Arabidopsis thaliana: one gene and its partners. The protein of the gene in region 2 purifies or fractionates together with the protein of the main gene of each other region. This does not show direct contact. Each region holds a gene or a part of one and is shown on either strand. Other genes may lie near its edges.

What was found.
Region 1: the proteins of AT3G24150 (region 2) and NRPB2 purify together in Arabidopsis thaliana (affinity purification with mass spectrometry, with the first as the bait; one study listed by BioGRID). This does not show direct contact.
Region 3: the proteins of AT3G24150 (region 2) and 2-Cys Prx B purify together in Arabidopsis thaliana (affinity purification with mass spectrometry, with the first as the bait; one study listed by BioGRID). This does not show direct contact.
Region 4: the proteins of AT3G24150 (region 2) and THI1 purify together in Arabidopsis thaliana (affinity purification with mass spectrometry, with the first as the bait; one study listed by BioGRID). This does not show direct contact.

The regions. Positions count from the first base shown.
Region 1 is NC_003075.7:11,536,229-11,544,374, reverse strand, and holds the start of NRPB2 (DNA-directed RNA polymerase family protein), read left to right. Parts: upstream 1-1,969; 5' UTR 1,970-2,174; coding exon 2,175-2,423; intron 2,424-3,199; coding exon 3,200-3,421; intron 3,422-3,523; coding exon 3,524-3,814; intron 3,815-3,924; coding exon 3,925-4,122; intron 4,123-4,213; coding exon 4,214-4,278; intron 4,279-4,381; coding exon 4,382-4,468; intron 4,469-4,545; coding exon 4,546-4,666; intron 4,667-4,761; coding exon 4,762-4,806; intron 4,807-4,898; coding exon 4,899-5,036; intron 5,037-5,169; coding exon 5,170-5,242; intron 5,243-5,407; coding exon 5,408-5,484; intron 5,485-5,562; coding exon 5,563-5,670; intron 5,671-5,756; coding exon 5,757-5,873; intron 5,874-5,965; coding exon 5,966-6,121; intron 6,122-6,202; coding exon 6,203-6,307; intron 6,308-6,390; coding exon 6,391-6,516; intron 6,517-6,609; coding exon 6,610-6,687; intron 6,688-6,780; coding exon 6,781-6,876; intron 6,877-6,965; coding exon 6,966-7,081; intron 7,082-7,156; and 9 more. Other genes in the region: AT4G21720 (defensin-like protein), read right to left, coding at 101-247, 345-383, 476-579, 789-842, 1,739-1,814. UniProt on the Arabidopsis thaliana protein: DNA-dependent RNA polymerase catalyzes the transcription of DNA into RNA using the four ribonucleoside triphosphates as substrates. Second largest component of RNA polymerase II which synthesizes mRNA precursors and many functional non-coding RNAs.
Region 2 is NC_003074.8:8,723,384-8,727,948, reverse strand, and holds AT3G24150 (uncharacterized protein), read left to right. Parts: upstream 1-1,962; 5' UTR 1,963-2,362; coding exon 2,363-2,463; intron 2,464-2,549; coding exon 2,550-2,664; intron 2,665-2,744; coding exon 2,745-2,859; intron 2,860-2,975; coding exon 2,976-3,676; 3' UTR 3,677-3,852; downstream 3,853-4,565. Other genes in the region: PMP (putative type 1 membrane protein), read right to left, coding at 80-217, 337-441, 543-613, 731-829, 915-990, 1,080-1,175, 1,494-1,568, 1,655-1,708.
Region 3 is NC_003076.8:1,917,314-1,922,095, forward strand, and holds 2-Cys Prx B (2-cysteine peroxiredoxin B), read left to right. Parts: upstream 1-1,766; 5' UTR 1,767-2,066; coding exon 2,067-2,294; intron 2,295-2,694; coding exon 2,695-2,769; intron 2,770-2,886; coding exon 2,887-2,968; intron 2,969-3,057; coding exon 3,058-3,137; intron 3,138-3,311; coding exon 3,312-3,437; intron 3,438-3,556; coding exon 3,557-3,670; coding exon of another isoform or gene 3,671-3,703; exon of another isoform or gene 3,704-3,781; coding exon 3,782-3,898; 3' UTR 3,899-4,112; downstream 4,113-4,782. Other genes in the region: AT5G06280 (uncharacterized protein), read right to left, coding at 1,066-1,536; LOG7 (Putative lysine decarboxylase family protein), read right to left, coding at 4,729-4,782.
Region 4 is NC_003076.8:22,244,494-22,248,991, forward strand, and holds THI1 (thiazole biosynthetic enzyme, chloroplast (ARA6) (THI1) (THI4)), read left to right. Parts: upstream 1-2,025; 5' UTR 2,026-2,140; coding exon 2,141-2,539; intron 2,540-2,662; coding exon 2,663-3,151; intron 3,152-3,236; coding exon 3,237-3,398; 3' UTR 3,399-3,839; downstream 3,840-4,498. Other genes in the region: AT5G54760 (Translation initiation factor SUI1 family protein), read left to right, coding at 239-275, 464-669, 832-885, 980-1,024; AT5G54780 (Ypt/Rab-GAP domain of gyp1p superfamily protein), read right to left, coding at 4,203-4,214, 4,301-4,384, 4,460-4,498. UniProt on the Arabidopsis thaliana protein: Involved in biosynthesis of the thiamine precursor thiazole. Catalyzes the conversion of NAD and glycine to adenosine diphosphate 5-(2-hydroxyethyl)-4-methylthiazole-2-carboxylic acid (ADT), an adenylated thiazole intermediate.

The DNA of each region.
Region 1 (8,146 bases), on a different chromosome or scaffold from region 2:
TTTGAGTTGGCTACTCTGAAAAGTAATACTCCCTCATATGTTTAGATACCAAAAAATTGAGGAGTTCCAAGTGTTAGCCTTTGATGGGGGTTGAGATACGTCAAGCGGAAGTTGCAAGAACATCCTCAGTAGGAGGCTGCATTGGTTTTTGAGAACGTGGTGGTGGTGGTGGTGGTTGTGGCTTTGGCGGTGGTGGTGGAGGTCTCTTTGGTTTCACCTTATTGACTATCTCAGCTTCAACATCAAACTGCATGATGACAAAAAAATACAGCCACACGGGTTCAGAGAAGTAGAGTGTATTTCCAAACGCATCAAATTATTGAGGTTGAAGCAAGGAAACAAACCTTGTAACCACAGCCTGCTACACATGCGTGAAAGCATTCCTGAATTTAAAAACAGAGTTACATGTACAACAATTAGATACGGTTCAGTCCATTTCTCTTTTTTGAAGAAAAAGATTCATTGTGTGAATTACCTCAGAGTATTTGGCATCTCCAGGAGAACGATCTATAACAGCAGTCCATGGTCTGTCTTTTAGCACAGGATCTTTGTAGCAAATTTCACTGCAGTCTCCTACACCTATAGAGAGTACACTACTATTACACCAATTCATTAACTTGGAAACTTAAACCTGAAAAGCAGAAGATACTCTTCATGAACATGTAATTTCGTTATGTAGGAGACAAGCTTGGTTTTTATGATGTTCCATAGTGAGGACAAATCTAACCGCTCATCATTTCATCAACAGTTTCGTTACAGATTACAAAGAATTAAAAAGAAATGCTTACAATCTTCCCATGAGTCACTATCGGCATCACATCCCTTTTTGCAGAATACTCTCCCTACACAGATTCAGGAATTACATTAGTGCTATGGAAAAAATGTCATACAACAACATGGAGGATAAACACTGATGCTAAAGCTGAAAAAAAACCCAGATTGCTATGGAAAAAATGTCATACCAAGCATAAGTTCAGCTAGCTTTTGTGCCCATGAATGAAATTCAGAGATCAGAGAATGAAAAGCTTTCATCAGAAAGACAGAAACAGCCAAACCAAGCCCTTTAACTAGCTTAAGCATACATATATGTCAATAGTTCATAGAAGCAACATGGATACAGAAGCATCTTTGATACCGTTACTTTGACTCTCTCCCTTTAAATTTCTTTCAGTTCATAAACTACAACTTATTATCTTCCACTTTCTCCTACTAATTTAACCATTTTCTTAATTACATGATAGAAAAGCTCTAAGAACTCTGCATAATCTCCCTTACTTGTAATCAATATAAATGTTGCCGATTCTTCAATCTACATTATTCAATTACGAGTCAAGATGGATGTTCTTAAATACTTGCAACTACAACTATAAGTTGTCTCTGGACCAATCTAACCAAAGAAGCGATTCTTGACCAAAATGTTTAGTATAATCGTAATGAAGTAGAGTGCACCAACAAATAATTAGGGTTTATGAATCAAGAAATCAATCAACAATCCAATTTACAGATCCCAATTTCAATTCCAAACAACAACAAAAAGAAGAAACACTCGGAAGACTAAATTGACTTTTGAATCAAGAAATCAATCACCAATCCAAATCAGAACCCAATCTATCAGCTCCAACAACAGATTCTTATCATCATCATCGAAAACTAAACCATCAAAAAACAACGGACCACGAACATCAAAACTCAAAAACGAATCCGATTCACACAAATTAAGAGTCCAGATATTACATACATGGAAGCTGCGTAAATGCTGAGTACTTATTCGTGCATTTGCTCCCACACGGCGGCGTCCATTGCTGCGGTATCATCTCTCTCTCCCTTCCTCCGCCTTCACTCTCCGTCTCTCTCTCTCTTCTTCCGAAAATATCGCTGACGCCACAAAAATGTAGCCGGAGACTTTTCTTTATATAGTAAGGGTGTTTCCGTCATTTAACAATCCAAGCTCTCTAACAACCAAACCGATCCTTTTTATAATCCCATTTAATCAAACCGGTTATTGATACAAACCGGTTATTTCCATAAACTTAAGCCGACTTCTCTCTCTCGAGCCTTTATAAACTCACAATCTCACAAAGCCGTCTCATTCTCTGCGTCCTGTCTCTCTCTTTGTCTCCGAGAGCTCGAGTAGTGAAGTTTGCTGTGCTCTAATCTTCAGAGAGTGAGAATAAATGGAGTACAACGAATACGAACCTGAACCTCAATATGTAGAAGACGATGACGATGAGGAGATTACCCAGGAGGACGCGTGGGCTGTTATATCTGCTTATTTCGAAGAGAAAGGTCTCGTTCGTCAACAGCTGGATTCGTTTGATGAGTTTATTCAAAATACTATGCAAGAAATCGTTGATGAGTCTGCTGATATCGAGATCCGACCTGAATCTCAGCATAATCCTGGCCATCAGTCCGATTTTGCGGAGGTTGTTTCCTCGTTTTTGTTTTTTTCTAGGGTTTCTATGGGAATTCGAAATTATGTGCGGGTTTATCGTGTTTGTGGCGGTTTTAAAGTGTTTCGATTTGAGCTTCTACCGTTTGGGTGCGATTAGGGTTTACCTGAATCTTATTGATGTCCCGAGATTGTCTTGTTATTCAATGCTTGAGCTATATGCTGTTCAAGAGTCAAAAAATGATTTTGACTATTGATGTCCGGATATTGACTTTGAGCTGGTAATCTTATTAATGTCCCGAGATTATCTTTGAGTTAATGCTTGAGCTCATCTCTTTCGAGGAGGATTTATAGTATTGGTTGAAACTCAAATCAGTTTTGGCACTATAAAAATGAGTTTGGTATCTTTTTTTGCTGTCCCTTTGGTCTGTTTTCCTGCAGACAGTCTATTGTTAGCCCTTATCTGAGAAGCTTATCTCAATGATTTCCCATGATTATCTTTGTATTCGATGCTTGAGCTCTTCGCTTTTTTGAGGTGTATTTTCAGTGGTTTTGAATATTGGTTAAAGCTTAAATCAGTTTTTAAGTTTTGTTGCAATTAGGGTCTGCCTTTGTCGAGTAGCTAAGCTCATTGATTTTCCGAGATTATCTTTCCATTTAATGCTTGAGCTCTTCGCTTTTTTCAAAGTGTCCTTTCAGTGGTCTTTATTATCGGTTGAAGCTCAAATCATTTTTGACTTTGTGTGAGCTGAGATATAGCTGTTTTGCTATCTGTTTTTCTGTATGTCTGATATAGCTGTTTTCCTGCAGACAATCTACAAGATTAGCTTTGGACAGATTTATCTGAGTAAACCTATGATGACAGAGTCTGATGGAGAGACTGCCACCCTGTTCCCTAAGGCTGCAAGGTTGAGAAATCTCACATACTCTGCGCCTTTGTATGTCGATGTTACTAAGAGAGTTATTAAGAAAGGGCATGATGGTGAAGAAGTTACGGAGACACAGGATTTTACTAAAGTTTTCATTGGAAAGGTGTCCGAACTCAGTTCATTGTGTCACATTTATTTAGGTGTTTCCATGTACTCTACTGTTCTGATAGTAGAAATGTTTTCTTCTTGTTTGATTATTTGCTAGGTTCCCATCATGCTCCGGTCTAGTTACTGTACCTTGTTTCAGAACTCGGAGAAAGACCTGACAGAGCTTGGAGAATGTCCTTATGATCAGGGTGGATACTTCATTATTAATGGCAGTGAAAAGGTTCTGATTGCTCAGGAGAAGATGAGTACGAATCATGTTTATGTGTTCAAGAAAAGGCAGCCAAATAAGTATGCTTATGTTGGTGAAGTCCGTTCTATGGCTGAAAACCAAAATAGGCCTCCAAGCACAATGTTTGTGCGTATGCTTGCTCGTGCTAGTGCAAAAGGGGTAAGAGAAAGCTAATTAGTCTTAACTCTACTATATCCTTCCTCGAAATTTATTCTTTAAATTCTAGATAATGGTAAATAAATTACATTCTATGTTGCAAATGGATGCAGGGTTCATCTGGACAGTATATTCGATGTACTCTTCCATACATCAGAACAGAAATTCCTATTATCATAGTATTTCGTGCACTGGGATTTGTTGCCGATAAGGACATATTGGAACACATCTGCTATGATTTTGCCGATACCCAGATGATGGAGTTGCTCAGGCCTTCCTTGGAAGAAGCTTTCGTTATTCAAAATCAGCTGGTATCCACTTTTTTTTCACTTGGTTAATGACATTTTATTATGCTTGAGGAATTGATCTTGCAATCACTTGATAACTTTCATATTACTTCAGGTTGCACTTGACTATATTGGAAAACGTGGTGCAACTGTTGGTGTAACCAAGGAAAAAAGGATAAAGTATGTGATAATCTAAACCAATTAAGTTGGACATTATGATCTAAGATGTCAACTATTGAGATGTTCACACTGGAGGTTTGCGATTGCAATATTATCATTGCAGGTATGCTAGAGATATCCTTCAGAAAGAAATGCTTCCTCATGTAGGAATTGGGGAGCATTGCGAGACAAAGAAAGCTTACTATTTTGGGTAGGTATTTAACTCACTTGTAATGTTTATAGACTTAACATGTTTCTGTGTTGCTCATATTATGCTATGATCCGTAGGTATATCATACACCGGCTGCTGCTTTGTGCACTTGGCCGAAGGCCAGAAGATGATAGGGATCATTATGGTAACAAAAGGCTGGATCTTGCTGGTCCTTTACTTGGAGGGCTATTTAGAATGGTTTGTTCCCGGCACACAATTATACACTCTTGGGGATTGTTGAGTATCAGTGTTTTTTTTATCTCTTACTGACCTAACATCTTCTCTACATGCAGCTTTTCCGAAAGTTAACAAGGGATGTGAGATCTTATGTTCAAAAGGTATCTTACATAGTTACTCTTTCTCGAGCCAAAGACTTTAGTATTAAGTTGTTATTCTGTGTTTGGAAGTCTGATTCATGTTTCTTTGACAGTGCGTTGACAATGGCAAAGAAGTCAATCTTCAATTTGCCATTAAGGCTAAAACAATTACCTCTGGCCTGAAATATTCTCTTGCTACTGGGAACTGGGGCCAGGCAAACGCTGCTGGCACAAGAGCTGGAGTCTCTCAGGTTAGGATAATTCTATGTTAATTATGTTTTTGAGTTCCAATAATTTCTTGATGTATGTTATCGGGTTTACTGTTTTGGCCTATTATAATTCATTGCATGATTTATATGGCTCTAAAGACTTAACTAACAACAGGTTCTTAACCGGTTGACATATGCTTCGACTTTGTCACATCTGAGGCGTCTCAATTCTCCAATAGGACGTGAAGGTAAAGCCTCGTTCTTTTCCTGCACTTCTATTTTGTCTCTGTGTAACTGTTCGTACAGTTGGTGTATTTTAGTCATGGTTCTCTTTATTATCCACATCCTTGCAATTTAGATTGGCTTGTACTTTTGTTTATCCCACTTGAATCTAATCAAGTCTGATATGCCAGGAAAATTGGCAAAACCAAGACAACTGCACAACTCACAGTGGGGAATGATGTGCCCTGCTGAAACACCTGAAGGACAGGTAAAATTGTTATATTTATAAAATAAGGGTGTTTCGGATTTTATAGTTCCATTGCTCATTGTGGCTTTGCTGTACCAGGCTTGTGGTCTAGTGAAAAACTTGGCTCTCATGGTCTACATAACAGTTGGGTCAGCTGCTTATCCTATATTGGAATTTTTGGAAGAATGGGGTACTGAGAATTTTGAGGTCTGTAGCATTTCACATTCAATTTCTTACCCAACATCTGCCTCCTTGGTTCTTGTGGTTTCCTGAAGGTCTTAACTTGAATATAGGAAATATCTCCATCTGTTATACCCCAAGCCACAAAAATCTTTGTCAATGGAATGTGGGTTGGAGTTCATAGAGATCCTGACATGTTGGTGAAAACGTTGAGACGTTTGAGACGAAGGGTAAGCATGCAGTTTCTTTCACGTTTCCATATATGCTAGTGAAAATATTGCAACTTTATGCAGAAGTGACATATTACTTTTTCCTCTTGCAGGTTGATGTCAACACTGAAGTTGGTGTAGTTAGAGATATCCGTCTTAAAGAGCTCCGGATATACACTGATTATGGACGTTGTAGCCGTCCGTTGTTTATTGTAGATAATCAGAAGCTCTTAATAAAGAAGAGAGATATCTATGCTCTGCAACAAAGGGTAAAATTCTAATTTTTACCTGTTATCAAAGTATCTTTTGTTATAAATTCCATTGTACCAATATTTGTTTTCATAACCCAGGAAAGTGCAGAAGAAGATGGTTGGCATCATCTGGTTGCTAAGGGCTTTATAGAATACATAGACACAGAAGAAGAGGAAACGACCATGATTTCCATGACTATCAGTGTGAGTAATGAAATGAAGATGTGATTAAATGAGTTTGTGGTGCACTAATTTCTGCAGAAATCTTACTCTTATGTTTGTTGTAGGATCTGGTTCAAGCTAGACTCCGCCCAGAAGAGGCTTATACTGAAAACTACACACATTGTGAGATTCACCCATCTCTGATATTGGGGGTCTGTGCTTCAATCATACCATTTCCTGACCATAATCAGGTACCTCTGTCTAAATGACTTTTCTATCAGAAGCGATTTCATTATGTAAATTCAGTTTCATGCTAACTAACCCTTTACTTTTTGATGTATTAGTCACCTCGTAATACATATCAATCTGCCATGGGGAAGCAAGCAATGGGAATTTATGTCACCAACTACCAATTTCGCATGGTATGTTCTAGGCTCTTAATTTGTGGTCTTTCTTGTCAGCTCTTGTTACATCACTCAATATTTTAAAGAAATTATTATTGTTCTGTCAACCAGGATACGTTAGCTTATGTTCTCTATTATCCACAAAAGCCTTTGGTTACTACAAGAGCTATGGAGCATCTTCACTTTAGACAACTTCCAGCAGGAATTGTAAGTTATTTTTGCTAGAAGTTTTTCAGAATTCAGCATTGCTCGTGTATCAAATCTCTCAAATGTTTTTTTTTCTTCTTCTTGTGCAGAATGCTATTGTTGCCATTTCTTGCTATTCTGGATATAATCAAGAAGATTCTGTCATCATGAATCAGTCTTCAATAGATCGTGGTTTCTTTCGATCCTTGTTCTTTCGGTCTTACAGGTGAGTATGCTATACTTTTGGACGTTTGCCTTCGGTCTTTCCATTTATTTATACTGCAATCACGTTTGCTGACAGAGATGAGGAGAAAAAAATGGGGACGCTTGTCAAAGAAGACTTTGGGCGCCCAGACAGAGGAAGTACAATGGTAAGAAAGTAATTGACACATGGTTCATACTTCAGTGGTGCTTTTTGTAAGTGAAGTTTAACACTTGGGTTTCTGCTGCAGGGTATGCGACATGGTTCTTATGATAAACTGGATGATGATGGTCTTGCGCCTCCTGTAAGTTTATAATTTATTGTTCCTTAATTATTTATTATCTGATATGATTAGGTGACTAATGTTAGAAAGCATATCATACAATCTTTTATTTTTGGTATAGGGTACTAGAGTTTCAGGTGAAGATGTTATCATTGGGAAAACCACTCCAATATCTCAAGATGAGGCTCAAGGACAATCATCCCGATACACTAGACGTGATCATAGTATAAGCTTGCGACATAGTGAAACTGGAATGGTGGATCAGGTAACTTTGGCTTTTCCTTGCAGTTAAGGGTTTAGAAAGTTTCAGGATTGAAATATGAAACTGATCAATTCTTGTAACTTCGTGTAGGTGTTATTGACTACAAATGCAGATGGTTTGAGGTTTGTGAAAGTGAGGGTCAGATCCGTGCGGATTCCTCAAATTGGAGACAAATTTAGTAGTAGACACGGTCAGAAGGGAACTGTTGGCATGACCTACACGCAGGAGGATATGCCATGGACGATTGAAGGGGTCACTCCGGACATTATTGTGAATCCACATGCTATTCCGTCTCGAATGACAATTGGACAGCTAATTGAGTGCATCATGGGAAAAGTGGCAGCTCACATGGGAAAAGAAGGAGATGCTACTCCCTTTACAGATGTCACGGTAACTTGCATTTTCCTTAGCTGCTTAGTTAGCATTGGGCTTGGTATTATTAGTTTTGACCAATGTTGTGTCGTTAGGTGGATAATATAAGCAAAGCCCTTCATAAGTGTGGGTACCAAATGCGTGGATTTGAGAGAATGTACAATGGTCACAC
Region 2 (4,565 bases):
AACTCCACCCTCTAATTTATATACCAAGACTGAGAAACTGAGGAAAGGGAAAAAAACAGAATAACAAAAATGCCCTTACATCGATACCACCAAAGCGTCCAACCGTTAATTCGGCAGTTCTGTCAATACCATGAGATAAATCGTCATAAACGCTGACTGCCTGTCTGATATTCTGATATAGACCCAAAAGGTTCAATGCAAATTTCCTCTCTGCTTCCTGCCCAGAGAAACAAAAGTCATGTGCCTTCTTCATATGAAAATCACAATATCTACAGGTAATACAGCAACCTCTCCCACATAAAATCATACAATTTTTCATGGAATTAAGAATATTACCTTTTCCAAATTGAACTCCACATTAGCACCCCCAGCCAGAGGGATACTCAACAATCCAGACGATGGTTCAGCTCCAGCAACATATGATCCACCCAACCAAGATGCCTAAGTATATTATAACCACACCATTAACTTGTGGTCACATTATATTAAAAAGGAAAAAAAAATAGTGTTTGCACTTAGAATGACAGGTGCTGTTAACTAACAAAATCATTAATGTCCTTGTCAGTCACATCAGAGGAGGGTTCATTGACAGACACAACAACCACTTCATTGTCTGCAGAATTTTGAAAAGATTAGCAGAATATCCAAAGTAAGACTTAAACCCATAAAGAAAAAAAAGTTAGAAACTAGTCATGCTCAGATGGTTCTGGTATTCAAGCTGATAGGGCACCTGGAAGTTCAGTATCAGCTTTGTACGAATCAGACTTAATACTGCTCCTTATGGCATTGCCCAAGAAAGAATGACTAGGGGAGGTTTCCAAAAGCATATCTGCAAGTAAAAAACAAACACTTGAATATTTTACAACTAAAATTTTTGGTTCATGTCAGAAAACTAAAGCTTTCCAATCACATACCATCAGCTCCAGCGATTTCTAGCACAAAAGCAGCGCGAGGCCTCTCAAATGGATTAGGTTTTAGAATCTTGTTCAACTATAACAAAATGCAAAACAAATAAACGATGAAGTACAGGACTTTAACCCAGAGAGAGAAAAACAACTCTACTATAATACTAAAATAACCTTGGATGAGCCATCAGCTGTCAAAGTTGCTGAAGGTGCAAAACCCAACAAGGCAGACACTGCTGCAGATATTTCAACAGGCGACATGGGAAGTGCCTGTGCATTTCAATTCAAAGAAAAGAGATTTAACTAAAATTCATCAAAAAGAACTATTAAATCACAAACTTTAGTACTTGTCAAACATAAATTTGCAATCTGTCCATTGATCTCTCATCAATATCAAAATAACAAAAAAAAACAGACAAGAAAACTACAAATTGGTGCCACTTAGACCAAACAATAGATCTTATTTTACTACTTCAATGGACCAAACTCGTATAATTTCCAGAAACGATCTTAGATTGAAATATAAAATGATCAAATTTGAGATTATTTCAAATCGGTCATCCACACATTTGGGACGAAAATCATTACCTCACTGGATGATCGTGGACGAAGATATTGATTGTTGGATCCATCAATGAAGAAAACAGAACCACTTGCTTCTCCCTATACACAAACAAAAGTCAGATCCATGTCATTACATACAAGCAATTCCGTAAACGAGAGCAAGACACGAAGGAACAAAAACGAACCCTATAATTCAAGGTGAGAAGAAGAGCAACAACGAATACGTAGAAAGCTTTCATCTTTAAGAACGAGAGTCGACGGAGAGAGAAAGAAAGAGATGGATCGGTGTTATCAGACGAGAGATGTTTAATGGAGGAGACGAATCCAGATTTCAGAATCAATCAAAGTGTTAGACACAACTCCAAAACGGTGTCGTTTGAAATTAATATTATCTGTTCAAAACCCGGTTATTTCAATTCCGGTTTAGTAAAAAGCCATATTAAACGACAGTTGCCGACAAAAAAAAAAAAAAAAACGACAGTTAGTACAAATAGGGGTATAATAGACAAATCACAAAACTGGTTCGTTTTTAAAGAAGCGGTCCCGAATCACACCATTTCCATTTCCATTTCCAGAAGCGGCAACGATGGAGACAACAATCGGAGATTCTATGACGATGATGATGACGGAGATGTGACCGGTATGAGCTCAAGTAGACGAAATCTCCAAACGATTCAGAGCTTCAAAGCTTCAGATCTGTTTCCTTGGATCGGTTAAAAAGAGTTTTAAGGTTGATTTTTCTTTCCACACCATTTGGCGACTCGTACATCGAACTCGCTGATCGGAAAATACTCCCGGATAGAAATTGAACCGATTAGTTTGATGAGTGAGTGACTTGTTACTTCGATTTGTAGCTGAGTGTGTCACTGCTCAAGTGTGTGAAGAAGGAGAAAATGCCGAGGCCAGGACCAAGACCTTACGAGTGTGTGAAACGAGCTTGGCATAGCGATCGTCATCAACCTATTCGTGGTTCGATTATTCGCCAGATTTTCAGGTTTTTTTCATTCACTCATCTTTCTCAAAACCGTACGCTAGGGTTTCTTTGTATCTTAATTTGGGGTTTTCTTTGTTTGATTTCAGACTCGCAATGGAAGCACATAGCGCAGCGACGAGGAAGAACAAAGAATGGCAGGAGAAATTGCCTGTGGTTGTGTTAAAAGCTGAAGAAATCATGTACTCTAAAGCCAATTCCGAGGTTTTAAACAAATTTTCCTTCTCTTTTTTTAGTGTGTTTTCAGCTTCACAAAATGACAATTGGGTTTCGGTTTCCATTAGGAAGAGTATACAGATGCTGATACTATGTGGAATAGAGTAAATGATGCCATTGATACAATTATTAGAAGAGATGAGAGTACAGAAACTGGTCCTCTTTTGCCTCCATGTGTTGAAGGTAATTGTCATTTTTGTTTCTCTCTTTAGCTCTAGTGATCCTTATTGAAACTACTTAGAAGTTAGTGCTTTGTACTGTTTATTGTTTGTTGATGTGGTTTTTTTTTATATGGTTAGCTGCTCTTAATTTGGGATGTATTGCTGTAAGAGCTTCAAGAAGCCAACGACATAGTAGCGGAAGGACTTACCTCGGTCCTAAAATTCAGGAACCGGTTTCTGCGTCGACTAATGAGCCGTCTTACCATCATGAATATCGTCAGCAAGCTCAACAATCATCAACCAAACCAAGCCAGACAGTTCAAGCTGCAGTCCCTGTTGATGTACTTGATAACAGCAACAAGCGTGTAGCTACTCCTCGCGGTTACCCGTTTCTTCATGAATCCATGCAGATGCATCAAAAGCCATTGGCAATTAGACAAGGAACTGGTCCTGCTTCTGCTCCTGCTCCAGCTCCAGTCAACTTGGGTTCGGTCTATCCTTTGTATTACGAAGGTAATAATCAAACGCAGCAAGCTGACATGTCTTTTAGAGTCCCTGAAGCGCCCATAATCATTGGCATGCCTATTGGTATAAAGCCCTCAGAAGAAGCAACTGAGAGGGTCTGTGATTTATCCTTGAGGCTCGGTATATCTTCAGAACCGTCTACAAGAATAGATGTCGGGTCTAGTCGGGCTTACCCGGGAAGAAACCAAGAAGAGTTATGTTTATTCGCAGAGGTAAAGAAGAATGATAGGTTTGAATGGTTTTCAAATAGTGAAGGTCAGAATTCAGATTCGAGAGTTAAAAAGCACAGAACTTTGTGTGGAGACTTCCTTTAGGACTTGCTTAGTTGTTGTAAAAGCTTCAGGTTTATTGGTTTACTATTTTATTGACTCTACTAGTCTTAGCGTTCGCTTCAAGTTTTATAATAAAGATCCATGGATTGATCTTAAGTATGGTAAGCTAAATTCTGGATCCAAGAATTAGTTAATCCATTTATATATGTTTGTTTAAATGTGAAATTAATAGAAAGAATTAGGTTAGTTACAAGTGCTAACATATTCAGGGTAAATTGGAGAGAAAACAGAGTTTATATAATCATAACCATAGGTTGAATAAATGTAATTGAGCTTTAATACTGAAGAAGCTACTCACTGATCAAATACCATCATTTTGAACTGTCTTTTTTTAAGTTGTTTTCTAAGTTTTTTCGTACATTGTCAGTGACCACTTTTGGTGTAGATAATCGTGGGTATCACTTTTACGATATTTGTGCAAAGAAAAAAAGGAAAGATGATAGATTGTTCCTAACGTCGGAGATGGATTCTCGACTAAATTACAACAAAGAACGTACACTATTGTCATTGCAGCGTGAACGTACATTGCATGCGAGAGACCAACTTTGTTTATAATCAAAACAAACGAAAATGAGACTTTTTTTTCATAAAAAAACAAAGGTGTGTCGTTGAAAGTTGATATTGATCTATTTCACCAAATTAATTAGCATTTTTGAGGGTTCATTGTAGCTTCATCACTAAACAGTTTGTAAATCTTGGTTGATGTTAAACATTCAGACCAGTTCTGATACAAGAAAATTCTTTTCAAAGAAAAAAATTGCTTTATAAAAAGTAATGTACACTCGTGATTCACGAGTCATTAACATGCAATAAATTAAAAGGAGCTTATATATATTTGTAAACTCAAAACTCAAAAGTAACGTATAAAAGT
Region 3 (4,782 bases), on a different chromosome or scaffold from region 2:
TTAGATTTTCTGGAAAATTTGCAGATTGCTTGTGGGTTACGCGTACCCTGCATATGGATGCTACAAAAGCGTGGAAAAGAAAAAGCTTGAGATTCACGAACTTAGATACTGGTGCCAATATTGGTAAAGCTTACTAATTGTTAATAAAGAAGATTCCTTTTTTGGATAAGGGTATCTTATTCTCATAACCATCTTATCAAAAATCCGAATTTGATTTGTAGGATCTTGGTGGCTCTTCTTACTGTTTTCGAAAGGATAGGAGACATCATTGTATCATGGTTAGTACTTATATGTCAAACTTCAAATCTCCATCATATGCTTCTTTATTGTATGAAACCTTCTGATTCATCTCATCTATCCGCAGGTTACCACTCTACGGAGAGATCAAAATCGCTCTTCTCATCTACTTATGTTACCCGAAATCACAGGTACTAACTACAGTACAATGCAATAAAAATCTAATGAGAATTCATTCTCATTCTTAGATTCACAAAACGACCAATCTTCTTCTCTTGGTTTCTAACAGGGACTTAGCTATGTCTACGAGAAGCTACTATGTCCATACATGTCAAAACATGAATCTGACATCGATCAAGGAATCTCTGTCTTAAAGATAAGAGGACATTTAGTAATTGCTCAACTACTGCAATGTATCTTCCACTGGAGCCTCCAAATCTTCAAGCAATTGCAACAACAATTCACCATCTATAAGGTATTCAAAACAAACATATACATCCTCAAGCTTTACTGCATCAGAGCACTCTCACCAAATCCATCACTTCCTTTGTCTACAGAATAAAAACCAATCAAAGTCAAAAGATCAACAACAAACAAGAACTTCTTTAATGTTTCTCCGTTAGAAGGTGCCTGCTATACTACTCTAAGCCACAATCTCAATAACCGGGTTTTTAAACCGCCGGTTAACCGGAGTTTCACATGACTTCAAATTGACCACAGACGAACAAAAAAAAAAAGATTTTTCCTTTGATATGTTTTGAATATTGTAACACTTTATTGTATACAATTCAATTCATGAAAAATCCAATTTTCTCACCAAATCAAAGTTTATTTGACAATCAAAGGAACACGAAACGATTGAAAAATCCAATCAAACACACGTCGCAAGAACTGAAACCCGGCGGATAAGTGAAGCCAAACGCGGCGGAAGAATTGAGAACCAGCAGAATCATCTGACGAAGTAAGCACCGTTGGTTGAAGATAAGACAAAGCAGCTTGCTTAACGAGACGGTTACGAATCGAGATATCTCCGGCGGCGGTGGATATAACAGGAGAGCAGCTACCGTTGATCGACGGTAAATTGAGTGAAGAGTTAATCGGAGAAGAGATGATATCTCTGAGAGAAGTGTAAGCTACGAAAGAGGATGGTTTTACGGAGATGAGCTCGTAATCGAACGAAGACGGCGGCGTTGAAGCTATGTCGAAAGGAACTTCTGGAGGAGTTAGAGTCGTCATGTTGGATATGGATTTTGTACGGCGGAGTTGAGTCGCCGGAGATTGTGACGGCGGAATCTCCATAGTCTTTCTTCTTCTTTTTTTTTGTTTGGTTTGTTTGTGAGTTTGTGGCTGATTGGGTTTTGCGAGTGTTTAAAGTAAGGAAGGAGGTCCAATTATTGATCTCTATGATATGTACATTTGTCACTATCTTGTGTTGTATTAATTAGTAAAGAGATACGTTTACTTTATTTGTATTTTCTTAATTATTATGATTGGAATGGAAGATAGTAGGCAAATTACAAAATTTAAGGATTGATTACTATTTTTGATGTGAAGATTAGATGGAAATATATTCGGAAATCCAACCAGCCTAAAAATAGATTTTGATTTAATTATCAAAGTATGATCATCAACACGGTGTCGTTCCGGTTCATCGAACATTCCACTTCTTTCTTCTTGTCTGAAAAATCTAGAAGAGCAGCTATTTGGTTTCTCTATCCGATTCGTCTCTCTCACGCCCTCACGTTTATCCACCTCATCCTCAAACCAAACCACAAGACCTCTTTTTTAAGTAACCAATCACAGAGAGATAGAGAGAGAGAACAGAGTCAATGTCAATGGCGTCTATAGCTTCTTCTTCTTCCACCACCCTACTCTCTTCCTCTAGGGTTCTTCTTCCCTCCAAGTCTTCTCTTTTATCTCCTACCGTCTCTTTCCCCAGAATCATACCCTCTTCCTCGGCATCATCCTCTTCTCTCTGTTCCGGGTTCTCCAGTCTCGGTTCCCTCACCACCAACCGCTCCGCCTCACGCCGGAACTTCGCCGTCAAGGCTCAGGCTGTAAGTTGACTCGCAATGCCATAAATTTCTTGTATTTGCTCCATCTTCTCATTCACTATGATTGTTGTATGAATTCGTTAGCTTGTTATAATGGGATCCGTACTATTTTCCTGCTTCTTATCTCTTAAGGGTTTTGAGATCATTGGATAAAAGACTAAACTTTAAACTTTTTAGAGTTCTGCGATTTGAATTGAGCGACATTTTTGTTACCCTTCTTTCGGGTTTAATTAGGGATGGGAGGAAATGATCTGAAATTAATTAATATGATTCACATTTGGCTCATACACAGAAATCTTTTGAGCCCTGCATAGATAGTGAACACCAGTTAAAGAACATTTTGTGTGGTTAAACAATTCGATGATCGATGACTGACTAGTGTTTATATGTTTTATGAATGCAGGATGATTTACCACTGGTCGGTAATAAGGCGCCTGATTTTGAAGCTGAGGCAGTTTTTGATCAAGAGTTCATAAAGGTACTTTCATTCCATTCAAACCTTATTTAACATGTTAGTTAGTTAAGTGTCATAAGCTAAGGTCAATGCAGTAGAGCAATGTTCTGATAGTAATCGACCTATGAATCATGGTTTCAGGTGAAGCTCTCTGAGTACATTGGCAAAAAGTATGTTATTCTATTCTTCTACCCTTTGGACTTCACTTTTGTCTGCCCCACTGGTTAGTATTCTGCTAAGGAAATAGCTTCAAAACTGAAACTCTCGCCCTCATAGTCACTGAAATTTCCAATTTTTCTTTGCTTATTCTAGAGATTACTGCCTTCAGTGACCGTTATGAAGAATTTGAGAAGCTAAACACCGAAGTATTAGGGGTCTCTGTCGACAGTGTGGTAAGTCAAATTTTTATTTCTCCACCTGAACCAAGAAAGAACATTCTGGTCTCAGCATTTTGAAAAATGGTTTCAAGTATTTGATGTACTCAGAACCTTGGCAAGTGGCAGTCTGATAATCGAATGGAACGTTTTCTTTTGGATAATGGAACGTTTGATTCCATGTTCATGTAGTTCTCGCATCTTGCGTGGGTCCAAACAGACAGAAAGTCGGGAGGGCTCGGTGATCTGAATTATCCTCTTGTTTCGGATATCACTAAATCCATTTCAAAATCGTTTGGAGTGCTCATCCCTGATCAGGTAAACGATTTCTTCTGACATAGTTGCATCATACTTGCATTGAGTCCAATCCACTTGTGTTCTTTCAAGTAACGTATAGCCACTTTGAATCAAAGCATTTTGCTAATATATAAGTACAGGGCATTGCACTGAGAGGGCTTTTCATCATAGACAAGGAAGGAGTCATTCAGCATTCCACCATCAACAACCTCGGTATTGGCCGAAGTGTTGATGAGACAATGAGAACCCTCCAGGTAATAAAGAGAAAAATCACATCATTGAGATAGATAGATAAAGAGAGATTTGTTTTTGAGGTTTAGGGTTTAGATGCGTTATTTGTTGCTTCTTGTGATGTTGTCTTGCAGGCATTACAGTATGTTCAAGAAAACCCGGATGAAGTGTGCCCTGCGGGATGGAAGCCAGGGGAGAAATCAATGAAACCTGACCCCAAGCTCAGCAAAGAATACTTTTCAGCTATCTAGAGGCTAAGATTGAACACATGTTTGGTGAAAATTAGCAATCAGAGTTGTTTTATTCGTCTTTTCAAAGTTGGAGCAGAGTTGTTATTTTTAGCCAAAGAACCTTTGTATCTATCTCATCTTTCTCCTGTTTCTGCTATGTGATTCTCCTTAAATTGAATCAAAAATAAAGAAATCCTTCTTTTCTTTTGCCAATATTTATGTCTTTCACTTGTGTAAATAGTTTATAATAATGCAAAGAGGCAGAGTATTTTGACCATTGCAAAAAATAAATTAGAAAAATATCATGTGAGGTCACAGCTCCCTGGAATTAGATAACTATCTGATTGATTTGTTTAATAAACTTGAGTGCTCATTAAGCTAATCTCCATCTGTAGCCGACAACAAAATTATGTTGTGGTATTACTCGGAATATTCTCCACTCGGATTAATTAAAAAATATCGTACATGATAATTTTCTGGTTAAATAAAAATCTGATACCTTTGACACGAGAAAAAAGTTAAAAACTAGAAGTTATGGATAAAATCAGAAAATAACCAAAAGAAAAGGATCGTTTTGTCATTTCTTGAAAATAGCCCTATCCTTTTTTTCCATTAAACCAAAATGTACAAAGACAAGTGGGGAGTGATAGGGTTTGGTATATACGCGGTTAGCAGTTACCCACATGGTTTATCCACTTCACACATTTAAACCACCCCTACAAAATAATGTTTATCAAAACGACCCCAATACTTTCTTTTGTCTTCTTTCCGCCCTTACCTTCTGATGTTAAACAACTTAATTTCCGCTGTACACTGCTTTTACCAAAAAATAAACTCCCCATAATACATCCTTACGTAGCGGTAGCTACCTCCGAACCCGGTACATAACTTATCCGGTCCACTTC
Region 4 (4,498 bases), on a different chromosome or scaffold from region 2:
CTTTTGTTCTATATCTCATTGTTCGATATCAAACTAATGAGGTTAACGTTTTTTGGTGAGACGACCAGTTATGTAACATGTTGTTAACTATCTTCATGTTTGAATCGATTTTGATTGGATGTTTTCATGTTCTATCATATTCTGCGGTTTTGAATCTTCTGAATTCTAACGTGAGGTTATCCTTCTTGTGCAGATCTCAGCTTCCCGGTTAGTACTACCCTCAAATCAACTAAGTTTCATGTCTGAACTTGACTCCCAGGTTCCCACTGCCTTTGGTATGTTTCTACTCTACCAAAACTTGAGATTGTATTAGTCACTGATCTTCTTCTACTTGTTTTAGATACTTGAACATGTTATCATTTGTAAATACATGTTAATCAAAGCATCATTTTTTGTTTGATTATGCTGTTTATCTTACATGGGAATCTGTTTATCTCTCTCAATTTGCTGTTGCTTGTTTCAGATCCGTTTGCTGATGCGAATGTTGAGGACTCAGGTGCCGGAACAAAAGAATACGTTCATATCCGTGTCCAGCAGCGAAATGGTAGGAAAAGCTTGACAACCGTCCAGGGCCTGAAGAAAGAGTACAGCTATACCAAGATACTTAAGGACCTCAAGAAAGAGTTTTGCTGCAACGGCACTGTGGTTCAGGATTCAGAACTCGGACAGGTAGGTTTTATCAAAACACTCTATTGATCCATGTAGTGGAAAGTGGATGATAATATTTCTGTCGTTAGTGCCTGCTTGAACAAACCAGAATGATTTGGCCTCTTATCTGAACATTTGAGCTTCTCTGTTTTAGTTTTGTTTATGGTTTGTGTTGATTTGTAGGTTATACAGCTTCAAGGTGACCAACGTAAGAACGTCTCCACATTCCTTGTCCAGGTAAATATCAATAACTCTACGAGTCTCTTTACTGCTAAAACATACAAACTGTGTAAGATGATTGTCTGATCTCACTGTTTCTCTGTAATCACAGGCTGGTTTGGTGAAGAAGGATAACATCAAGATCCATGGTTTCTAAGCTATCTAGTGGATCATATTATTAATAAAACCATATCTTTTTCTTTCATCTCTTGTTGCGAATTTCGGGTTTGATTCATCAAAATCGTCTTCTTCCTAGTGTTCTTCTTCTGTTTGGTATTCGAATTTTAATGGCTTATGTTCACCATACTTCTTCCCCTGTTTTCGTGTTACTCTGTTTCACATCTTACTTATCTTATAATATCAGTTTGTTAAGATAATTCTGCTCTAACTTGTTATAATTTTTCTCTACAATGGTTCATAGTTTTAAAATTATATAAGGACCAACCGGAAGTTTATACGGTCGATACTTTCCAAGTATACCAAATTGCAGGTTTTAGTTTGGACCACAAAAAAGTTCAATGATCAAAAAGGCTGATGTATCTTCTCACTAGTAATAATAATTCATAAGCACACAAATAATGATAAATGAACTGTCTCTGTCACTAGTAAAGTCCAAATGCCGTCTCTATCGTACAAAGATATTTCACCTTCTTGTTGTTCGTGTCACCACACACTCACTGCAACTGGCTACAGATGTTCCCAGATAAAAGCTTCGAGATATTTTTTTATACATTTATTTTGATCCATATCACAATATTAATTGCAAAGTTTTTTCCCTTTTCTTCAAGAAATAGAGCAATCCGATTCAGTCAATTCTTTGAAGTTATAACAGTAATCAATTCGCCATTAATTTTATACATTTAATCAATGTATAATATAAGTATTTTTCTTTCATAAATGGGGGAAAAAAATAGAGATAGTTTTTGACCAAAAAAAAAATAAAAAAAAATAGACATAGTCATTGGAGATGGTTTTACTAAATTTGGGCTTGTTCAAGAGAAGTGTCTTTTCTTCATTCAATCAGAACCGTGAAGAAAGGAGATCGTTACTTTCCATTGATGGCTAAAAATTAAAATAATCACGATAAATATTAATAATACAAAAAACAATTAAAATAACAAAAAAAGATCAAAAATTCTCTAACCCTTCATTCCTTATCTCTGACGTGGCCATCAATCTTCAGATTTTCTTCTTCTTCTAATTTAAATACTCAACAACCACTCTTCACTTCACCATCAGCATCACTAAACTCGAACCCTAAAGAAAAACAAAAATGGCTGCCATAGCTTCTACTCTCTCTCTTTCTTCAACCAAACCTCAGAGACTTTTCGATTCTTCCTTCCATGGCTCAGCCATCTCCGCAGCTCCTATCTCCATCGGTCTCAAACCACGATCTTTCTCCGTTCGCGCCACAACCGCTGGTTACGACTTGAACGCTTTCACGTTCGACCCGATCAAGGAATCGATCGTGTCACGTGAGATGACGAGAAGGTACATGACGGATATGATCACTTATGCTGAGACTGATGTCGTCGTCGTTGGTGCTGGATCTGCTGGTTTATCTGCTGCTTATGAGATCAGTAAGAACCCTAATGTTCAAGTTGCCATTATTGAGCAATCTGTTAGTCCTGGTGGTGGTGCTTGGCTCGGTGGTCAGCTTTTCTCCGCCATGGTAAGATTTAGATTCATTTGCATGTGTGATTTTGTTGAAGTTTTGAGTTCTGTTTCTGTTTTAATGGAGAATTAGGGTTTAGATTGAATCATTATGAGTATTGATTGCTTGTGCTTATGGTAGATTGTTCGCAAACCAGCTCACTTGTTCCTTGACGAGATTGGTGTGGCTTACGATGAGCAAGACACCTACGTTGTGGTTAAGCACGCGGCTCTGTTCACATCAACCATCATGAGCAAGCTTTTGGCTCGTCCTAATGTGAAGCTCTTCAACGCTGTGGCTGCTGAGGATTTGATTGTGAAAGGAAACAGAGTTGGTGGTGTGGTGACTAACTGGGCTCTTGTGGCTCAGAACCACCACACACAATCGTGTATGGACCCTAATGTTATGGAAGCGAAGATTGTGGTTAGCTCTTGTGGTCATGATGGTCCTTTTGGAGCTACTGGTGTTAAGAGGTTGAAGAGTATTGGGATGATTGATCATGTTCCTGGGATGAAAGCTTTGGACATGAACACTGCTGAGGACGCTATTGTGAGGTTGACCAGAGAGGTTGTTCCTGGTATGATTGTTACCGGTATGGAAGTTGCTGAGATCGATGGTGCACCGAGAATGGTGAGTATTCTTGACCTATATATGTTTGATTTGGTATCCATAGTTTTCGTTAGATCATGTCCTGAGTTAGTTTGTGGTGATGTAGGGACCAACTTTTGGTGCTATGATGATATCGGGACAAAAGGCGGGACAACTTGCTCTTAAGGCTTTGGGGCTACCGAATGCTATTGACGGAACTCTCGTTGGAAACCTAAGCCCGGAGCTGGTCTTAGCCGCAGCAGATTCAGCTGAAACCGTAGATGCTTAAAATCAAAAGGTTTTAACGTTAAGAAAAGTTTCCCTTGATCCTTCGGATGTTGAAGGAGTGCAATAAAAGGAGTTTAGGTGTTTAATATGTCTTGAACTTTTCTGGTGTCTTTGTTTCTCTCTTCTGAACTTCTGTGTAAAATATCGTATCCGTTCATTCGTAATGCGTATGTTCTCGTTCTTCTCCTTCTTTATGGCTCTAGTACAAGCAGCTTTCTCGTTGTCGTTGGCAATACAAAATCTGTCTAAATTTGAGGGATGAGATTAGTGTTGGATGTCGGATTCTTGTCTTCAATTCTGATTCTTATCCTTGAAGAAATTATGTATAGATAGAGCTATTCAATGTCTATAGTTTCTCTGCTGATGAAAGAACGAAGAGTTTTATGATTTTAGATTCAGAGAACAGAGGAAAACTGTGAAATAGAAAGAAAAAAGTTTTTACATTTCTTTTATGAACATATATATATATATATATATACTGATGTCTGACCTGGAATTCAAATACTCCATCCTTATTTACATATATAATCCGACTTAGAAGTGCAACAATGAGTTTAGAAATGACATCGATGATAATTCTTTTGTGTGCTTTTTTTTTGTTTTGGTTTGTGAAACAAATATTACAAAATGTGTGGATTTGTATGAACAGTTTACAACGAGAAGTTGTTGTGTAAATTGGGCTCTTTTCTTCAGAATTCTTGCCACCCAAGGAATCGTTAGTCACTTTTTTGTCGCCGGTTTTGTGAGTTATCAAATATGTATAAAAACATACAAAAACGCTACTACTCGTGAATCTTCTGCAATGCTATTTCTTGGCCTGAAATACCAAAAACAGAACAATCAGAGAGTTATAAGATAGCTAAAGAAGGATCATACACAAACTCATAAGAGTATAAAGCAAACCTTTTTAAGATACTTCTTGTGAAGTTTCATTGCACCAGTACAGGCTTTTTTAGCATCCAAGTTTCCGGTTATGTCGTTTAAGATCTGAGCAAAATACACAGATTAAAGAGGACTTCACTTGTAAAACAGATAAAAACCGCTCTGAATTCTCTGCATTACCTTTACAACGTCATCAAGTCCTCGAGCTTCGGTCATTAA